Bombyx mori: one gene and its partner. Each later gene encodes a partner of the first gene's protein in a complex. Links are inferred from orthologs where the notes say so. Each region holds a gene or a part of one and is shown on either strand. Other genes may lie near its edges. The genes, in order: queuine tRNA-ribosyltransferase accessory subunit 2 and queuine tRNA-ribosyltransferase catalytic subunit.

Evidence for each region.
Region 2: the proteins of queuine tRNA-ribosyltransferase accessory subunit 2 (region 1) and queuine tRNA-ribosyltransferase catalytic subunit are in contact, whole or in part, in a crystal structure (PDB 7OVS), measured with the Mus musculus proteins. The link is inferred for Bombyx mori from reciprocal best matches to the Homo sapiens genes QTRT2 and QTRT1. Residues at the interface, in NP_001343258.1 of Mus musculus: Arg39, Thr40, Gly41, Ser42, Ala43, Pro44, His45, Leu46, Thr47, His48, Gln49, Thr50, Asn53, Glu70, His71, Glu73, Val74, Glu77, Tyr78, Phe85, Ile86, Gly87, Phe119, Gln342, Glu343, Phe345, Tyr355, Asn359, His360, Ala363; in NP_068688.2 of Mus musculus: Thr50, Thr53, Met54, Lys55, Gly56, Ile57, Thr58, Thr59, Glu60, Gln61, Ser64, Arg80, Pro81, Leu85, Lys88, Ala89, Phe95, Met96, Asn97, Ala307, Lys308, Phe310, Pro320, Thr324, His325, Ala328, Phe329, Ala332, Leu333, His335.

Annotation. Positions count from the first base shown.
Region 1 is NC_085111.1:7,106,354-7,110,191, forward strand, and holds part of queuine tRNA-ribosyltransferase accessory subunit 2, read left to right. Parts: intron 1-40; coding exon 41-222; intron 223-410; coding exon 411-580; intron 581-754; coding exon 755-957; intron 958-2,790; coding exon 2,791-2,916; intron 2,917-3,648; coding exon 3,649-3,838. UniProt on the Homo sapiens protein: Non-catalytic subunit of the queuine tRNA-ribosyltransferase (TGT) that catalyzes the base-exchange of a guanine (G) residue with queuine (Q) at position 34 (anticodon wobble position) in tRNAs with GU(N) anticodons (tRNA-Asp, -Asn, -His and -Tyr), resulting in the hypermodified nucleoside queuosine (7-(((4,5-cis-dihydroxy-2-cyclopenten-1-yl)amino)methyl)-7-deazaguanosine).
Region 2 is NC_085110.1:7,481,291-7,484,844, forward strand, and holds the end of queuine tRNA-ribosyltransferase catalytic subunit, read left to right. Parts: intron 1-366; coding exon 367-535; intron 536-1,984; coding exon 1,985-2,179; intron 2,180-2,346; exon of another isoform or gene 2,347-2,850; coding exon 2,851-3,006; 3' UTR 3,007-3,008; downstream 3,009-3,554. Other genes in the region: ccdc25 (coiled-coil domain containing 25 protein), read right to left, coding at 3,110-3,421.

The DNA of each region.
Region 1 (3,838 bases):
AACTAAAAAAATATAAGAATTACAAAATTTAAATTTTCAGATATATGGATTTAATGGAGACATTTAAACCTGATATAATTTTAGCTGCTTCAGATGGACGTATCTCTCTAAATGAAAAACCAAAAAGAATTGTCAAGTCTGTAGAGAGGACAATGGCTTTGCTTGATTCATGCATAAATAAATATAAAGCTTCTGAAGAACTTCAACAAAGCTCACTTGTAGGTTTGTAATTTTATCATAAACCTAACATTGTTTTTGTTTAATTTTTGTCAGATAGAATTCAATACTGAGGATTAAAGATACGCTAAAGAAGTAAAGTCCATACATGTAAAATGTATATGTATAGGATATACAATAAATTATGCAAAATAATGTAACATGTGAAGAAACCTAATTAAATATATTGATAGGTGTGATAGTTGCTGCGAACATACCACATAAATGTGAGGAATGCATCCGACATATCCTGAAATACAAAGAAACATTAGTTGGAGTTGCATTAGCTGGTCTTACTGATGGAAGCAAGGAGTCATATGAAGTTTCTCTTGATAAGCTGAAAGAAATATTCAGTAGAGTTGGTGTAAGTAAAATATTAATAATTGAATAAGGACTGTTTACACTTACGTATTTTTCTTAAGACAATAGACACATTTAAAATTATAGACAACAACAATATCAATAAATTATAGATTATAATATTGTAATCCTTATTATTACTTTATGATGTGTTTTGAAATTGTTTTTTGGGTTTCAGGGCTCACTACCAAATGATCTACTTCGTATTGTTGAAGGTTCTTGGAATCCTGCAGTCATAGTAACAGCAATAGAGCATGGTTGGGATGTGTTTGATGGTTCATATCCAATAAAACTCACAAATAAGGGACATGCATTGTCTTTAAATTTTGATGTGTATCGATATAGTGGAGATCCATGTATCATGGACCTTAATGACATTAGGTATGATAGATATTTAAGATTTAGACAAGCAGCTCGCATGATATTAAGAGGTAACTGAAGCCTGTAGACCTTAAAAACTTGGTGCTGATACCGGTGATTGTAATACATAATAAAGTAGCTTCAAGTCTTCATTATATTTGAATATGTACCTAGCATTCAAGTTAGTACAAATTAATCTTATTTGTTACCTTATTATAATAACCGGCAAACTTCTTGAGCATTTGTTGACGTAGTGGGGGTAAGTTTGCGCATGGTACACTCACGTGCAAAAACATTACTTACTCTGCGTCATAATGCAATTAAATTATTAAAATCAACATATGTATTTATTTATATATTTATTAGAACATCAACAAAACATATAGCTTAATAATTGTAATAATTTAATCTTGGGGTAAAATAGATATTCCTTCTATTAAGTCAAAACTAGAGCTGTTGCCAGGTCTTGGTTCAGTTGAAGCGAAGCTGGTATTTGTATATTTTTTTTCGTTATCATAATCTTGACCATCATCATCATCACTGTTTTCATCACCCGAATCGCTATCATCGTGATGAGTCGACATAGGGCTCATCGGCGTAGTTTACAACTCGGTCGACACGGTCTTCTTTTTTGTCTATAATTAATTATTTTTTGAAGATATTCGATTCGTAGTAATCGAATGTTACTTTTTTCAATTATCGGCTTCCGATTATTTTCTGTTTTTTTTTTTTCATCTGAAGCCTAGCTCTTTCATAATTCGTCGTAAACTTCATTCCGAGCCATTAAAATGTATATCTTCTTAAAATTTTTCGAAGCCTTTCTACGGTACGGAGTTTCGCTGCTTGTTATGTAGTTATTATGATTACAGATTGAACGAAACTATCCATTCCGGTAACTTTCTTCTTCCCTGATCTTTTCTTACCCGGAGTCCGAAACACGGCGAGCAAGCCAGAGCCTTTAGATTCGTTAATAATGCACCTAACAGTACTCACTGATGTTTTTGTTGCTTCCGAAGTCTGTTTTAATTTTTCCATATCATTCTTCCCCTGTTTTATAATGAAGCAATATACGTCGTACACAAATTTTCTACCCTTTCTTTTAAGTACTACACCACTTTGTCACGGCATAGTGTATGTTTTATAAAAAATCAACAAACACTCAACAAATAGCAATGGCAACAAAGTCCACAAGCAATTATAACAAATAACTTAACGATTAATAACGATAGACTTTCCACTGTACGCAAGCGTACTTTTGGGAGCAAGCGGAATGAGGGCGCGGTGCGGGACGCAAGGTTCGACTGATCTACCAATAACGCGCTCGATACGATTCCCCTGCCGTCGCGCCTCACCCTCACCACCAAAGTGATCTAAAATTCGGTTCTGCGCAGTCAAGGTCATTTGCTCAAGAAGTTTGCCGATTACTATAACTGTACTTCCAAATCCCATAACAGATACCAATTTTTAAAGTAAATATTTAACACATGCTCATGAATAACTTCCATGATAAAGAAGATCACATTATTAAAGAAAACGTGAAAAATTAACAAAAATATCGAATAAAACGTCATGATGTCCACCATCGCTCAGGTAAACCGTCAGCTCCGCCCATCTAGAGCATAAAAATACTTCCAATTACTGTCCCTTTGAAAAAACATTTAGTATTTTCTTAGATATTACATATTATGAATTGAAACTAATATAAAATTGTTTCTACAATTTGTGTATAATGCTATTGTTCACTAGTTGCTATGGTTAGAAACGAGTTACAATGCTGCTTTCTATTTTGACTTGTTTTATTAACTCTACTAATAAAAAATGCACAAAATGAAAGTTTTCTCACAATAATTTCAGGTATAATGAAGATTTCAAACCTATACTGGAAGGATGCGAATGTTTGACATGTAAAAAACACACACGTGCATATATTAGGCATCTTTTAAATACAAGAGAGATGCTGGCATCTGTTTTGTTGAGCATGTAAGTTATGAATGTATTGTTACATGGTTAATAATATTCGATTCAGAACTCCAGTTTTAAATTTTAATTTAATATTTACATATCGATGCTTGAAAGGCAAACGTTACTAAGCGACAATAACTGCTTTGTACATAAATGATAGGCAATAACCATATTCGATGCCCAAAAAAATTATATTTCTAAGTCTATTAAAATTATTTCAATCCTACCGCAGTAGCTAGATAGTAGTAGAATCTACTACTATCTAGTAAGCTAGATTCTACTACAGCTAGATTCGTCAAAATAAATTTTGTTTTCATGTATTTCAACTTTAAATTAGTCTACCGTAAAGTTCACGCATTGTCGCTTAGTCACGTTTGCCTTTCAAGCATCGATATTTATTATGTTATGTCAAAATAAATATATTCTTTTGTTTCCTCGCTGGATGTTTCTAAATATGTAATCTCTTCTCTACCACCGGCGTGTACCATAAATTTTTAATTTATCACTGGAAATGGAGGCACTGTAAATTTATAAAAATCGTCCACAATTATTATCATGCTGATTAGAGAAATACAACAAACACATTTTACATAACAAACAAACACTTTATAGAAATTCAAAACACAATATCAATATTTACACTGTAATTTTCAGTCACTCAATTTTGTCTTTACAAATTTTATTTGGAAAAAAAGCCACAGCTGATTTTTCCCGCCAACCAACATCTAAAAAGATAATTTGTATTTTCAGACACAATCTACATCATTTCAATGAATTCTTCGTGCAAGCTCGTCTACACATCAGCGCCTCTACGTTCAATATTTACAAGAAACACATTATAACACAATATGAAAATATAAATCCGAAATTGGATAATGAAGAAGACAAGACAGCTCCAACTCTTGTGCAGGATAAAAAGAAAATTAAAGTGAGAATTGGT
Region 2 (3,554 bases), on another chromosome or scaffold:
CTTGGTTTTTCTTCTATACATTGATAAATATTACCTTAAAGAAAATTAGGTAGATTCCGTGCTACAAGTACTTTGAGAATCTTCCGCAGGTTTGTCCCAATTTACCCCATGTCATGGTACTTATGACCTGACTAGGTATAATATACAAAACTGATTTCCTTCATTATATTCATTATACTTAACACAGTTACAGCTGAGTTTACGCAGTTCAGGCATTAATTTGGACTTTCTGACAGAATGAAGACCTCTTGAGATAAAATACATTCAAAAAATTTAATAGTTAAAAAAACCCATTATAACCCTCATTTACTACTAAATAAAAAAAACAGCTTATACACTCACAAACTCATTTTACTTGTGTTTCAGTGGGGGTGAAGCAAAGGATGATTTCTGGCCAATGGTTAGCTTGAGCACAGGAATACTTGATAAAAACAAGCCACGATATCTCATGGGTGTTGGAGTTGCCATTGATCTTGTAGTGTGTGTGGCTCTTGGTGTTGACATGTTTGACTGTGTTTTCCCAACTCGTACAGCAGTAAGTTTATTTTACTAATTCTATAATCATAATGTTCAAATAATAAATAATACAATATAATTTGGCAGAGAAGGTCAGATCTCAACTGTTGCTGGGAAATGTTGAAGTTTGAGTAGAACAGCTTACACTCAAAGTAATAATTAAGGGAAGGCTACCAAAGTTCATATGCATTATGAATGCTGACATACTGACTTGTAACATGAGGTAGATGTATAAATTTTTTTGCAAAATGATTGGACGAGTTAACAGCCTTTTTCTTTTTTTATTGCTTAGATGGGTGGACGAGCTCACAGCCCACCTGGTGTTAAGTGGTTACTGGAGCCCATAGACATCTACGACGTAAATGCGCCACCCACCTTGAGATATAAGTTCTAAGGTCTCAGTATAGTTACAACGGCTGCCCCACCCTTCAAACCGAAACGCATTACTGCTTCACGGCAGAAATAGGCGGGGCGGTGGTACCTACCCGTGCGGACTCACAAGAGGTCCTACTACCAGTGATTACGCAAATTATAATTTTGCGGGTTTGATTTTTATTACTCGATGTTATTCCTTCACTGTGGAAGTCAATCGTGAACATATTTTGTTAAGTACGTATTTCATTCGAAAAATTGGTACCCACCTGCGGGATTCGAACACCGGTGCATCGCTACATACGAATGCACCGGACGTCTTATCCTTTAGGCCACGACGACTTCAAAATTATAATTTGCGTAATCACTGGTGGTAGGACCTCTTGGGAGTCCGCACGGGTAGGTACCACCACCCCGCCGTGAAGCAGCAATGCGTTTCGGTTCGAAGGGTGGGGTAGCCGTTGTAACTATACTTGAGACCTTAGAAATTGTATCTCGAGGTGGGTGGCGCATTTACGTTGTAGATGTCTATGGGCTCCAGTAACCACTTAACACCAGGTGGGCTGTGAGCTCGTCCATCCATCTAAGCAATAAAAAATAATTGCAGGTTAGAATATAGGTTAGAATTATATCATTGTAATGGCTGTCCCATCAGTAACAGAATGACACATGACTGCTCTGTGGCAGAAGAAGATAAGATAGATGGTGTTGCTTTACGAGACAGGCTAGCAATATTTTTTAAACGCAAAATCCACAATTTTAAATAGTTATCGAAGCCCATAGACATCATGATGTGAATGCAGCTATTCACCTTGAGGCTAGAGATTATTCTTATGAATTGTATATTAATTACACTAATTATACTTCTACAGGTTTGAATTTATTACATGATGTTATTTTTTATGCATTGAAGTTATTTATGAATATTATCAATGAGTAGGTATGGCATTACAAAAAAGTACTTGCATGCAGGATTTGAGCACCACTATAAATGCATTGCTGGATACAAATATCCTTTAGGTCATAATTAATTTTAACAACTTTCTCATCTACATGAAAATTTATATGTCTTTATTTTCCATTTTTTATATTCCAGAGGTTTGGGTGTGCACTTGTGAATAAAGGACAATTGAGTTTGAAACAAAAAAAATATGAAACAGATCTAAATCCAATTGACAAAGATTGTACTTGTTCAACATGTTTGAATTACACAAGGGCTTATCTCCACAGTATTGTAACAGTAGAAACAGTGTCTTGCCATCTACTTTCTGTGCACAATATTGCTTATCAGGTATGGTAGTGTTTTTAATTTGTCTACTATCTGACAACCCCTAATAGTAGTTCTCGGTACTTCTCATCAAAATGATATTTACATAGACAAGTGGAACTAATTAAATTTATTTGAGATTTGGGGAATTAATTATATTAAAACATGAATTGAAATAAAAAAACAATCGATTTCATGAAAATTTACACATCTGTTATAACTTTAATATTTCGTTCCTCATAAACTTATAACAGTGTCAACACAACAAACAACAAGCTGAAATTTACGATAAAATACGTGTCTCGGATAGAAAATATAAAAAGTGGTTTATGCGTGATGTAACAACTTCAAATCTGTATTCCCAATACATATATATAATCAAACAGTAGAATCTGCTAAATACACACAAATAAAAAGTAAAAATAGATTAAAAACCTAAAGCTCAATCATTGAATCACTTTCTGTCTGTTTCTTTGTTCACACACATCTCCACTCCACATGTACTGAATGGATTTCCGAATTGATAGATGGACATTAATTTGGAATAATAATGAACACAAAATTGATGAATATTTTTTTTTCATATTTACTTTAAATGTAGTCCAAACAGGTGAAGTAGCAGGTGGAAAGCCAATTTTATAATTTTATACAATGTAGGTATATTAAAATTGACTTGTAATCTTTGTAAATTGCAGATGCGTCTTATGAGGACTATGAGAGAAAATATTGAAAATGGTACATTTCCAGCTTTTGTACAACAATTTGTAAACGAAGTTTATCCCAATGGCCAATATCCTACTTGGGTTGTAAATTCACTTAGCTCAGTTGGAATAAATTTATGCCATCTTTAAAATATACTTTTATTTTTCACTTTTAAATATTTTCTATAAAATTATTAGAAGAAAAAAATGTTTTAGTGTTAATTTAATAGAAACAGGATTTGTAATATGATGGTCACATAAAATCATCGGAATCATTACCATCATAGTTAGTGGACATATTTTCCGCTTTCATTAATGTAGAGTAGCTTCTGAGTTCTGCCTCTTCCTTTTTTCGTTTTTCTTCTTCTTTCTCTTTCTCCTTTTTTTCTCTTAAAACTTTCTTTTTATCTTCTCTCTCTAATCTATCTCGATTCTCTCTTTCTTGTCTGAGGTCTGGAAATGATTCTGTTTTTGTTTTATTCAGCCTATTTACTATTTCATTATTTCTTTTGGCCACTTTCGCCTTTCTTACTTCTCTGTCTTTATGGAATGCTACTTGTCCAACCTGGAATCAATCAATCTATAGAAGTGAAAACTTTTAAAAAGTATAAGTGTGCTTGAAAAACTTATTGGGAAGGACAAAATTTAATAACTCAGTACAAATTGCCTTTGAAGAGTTTCTGGCTCTTGTACACCTA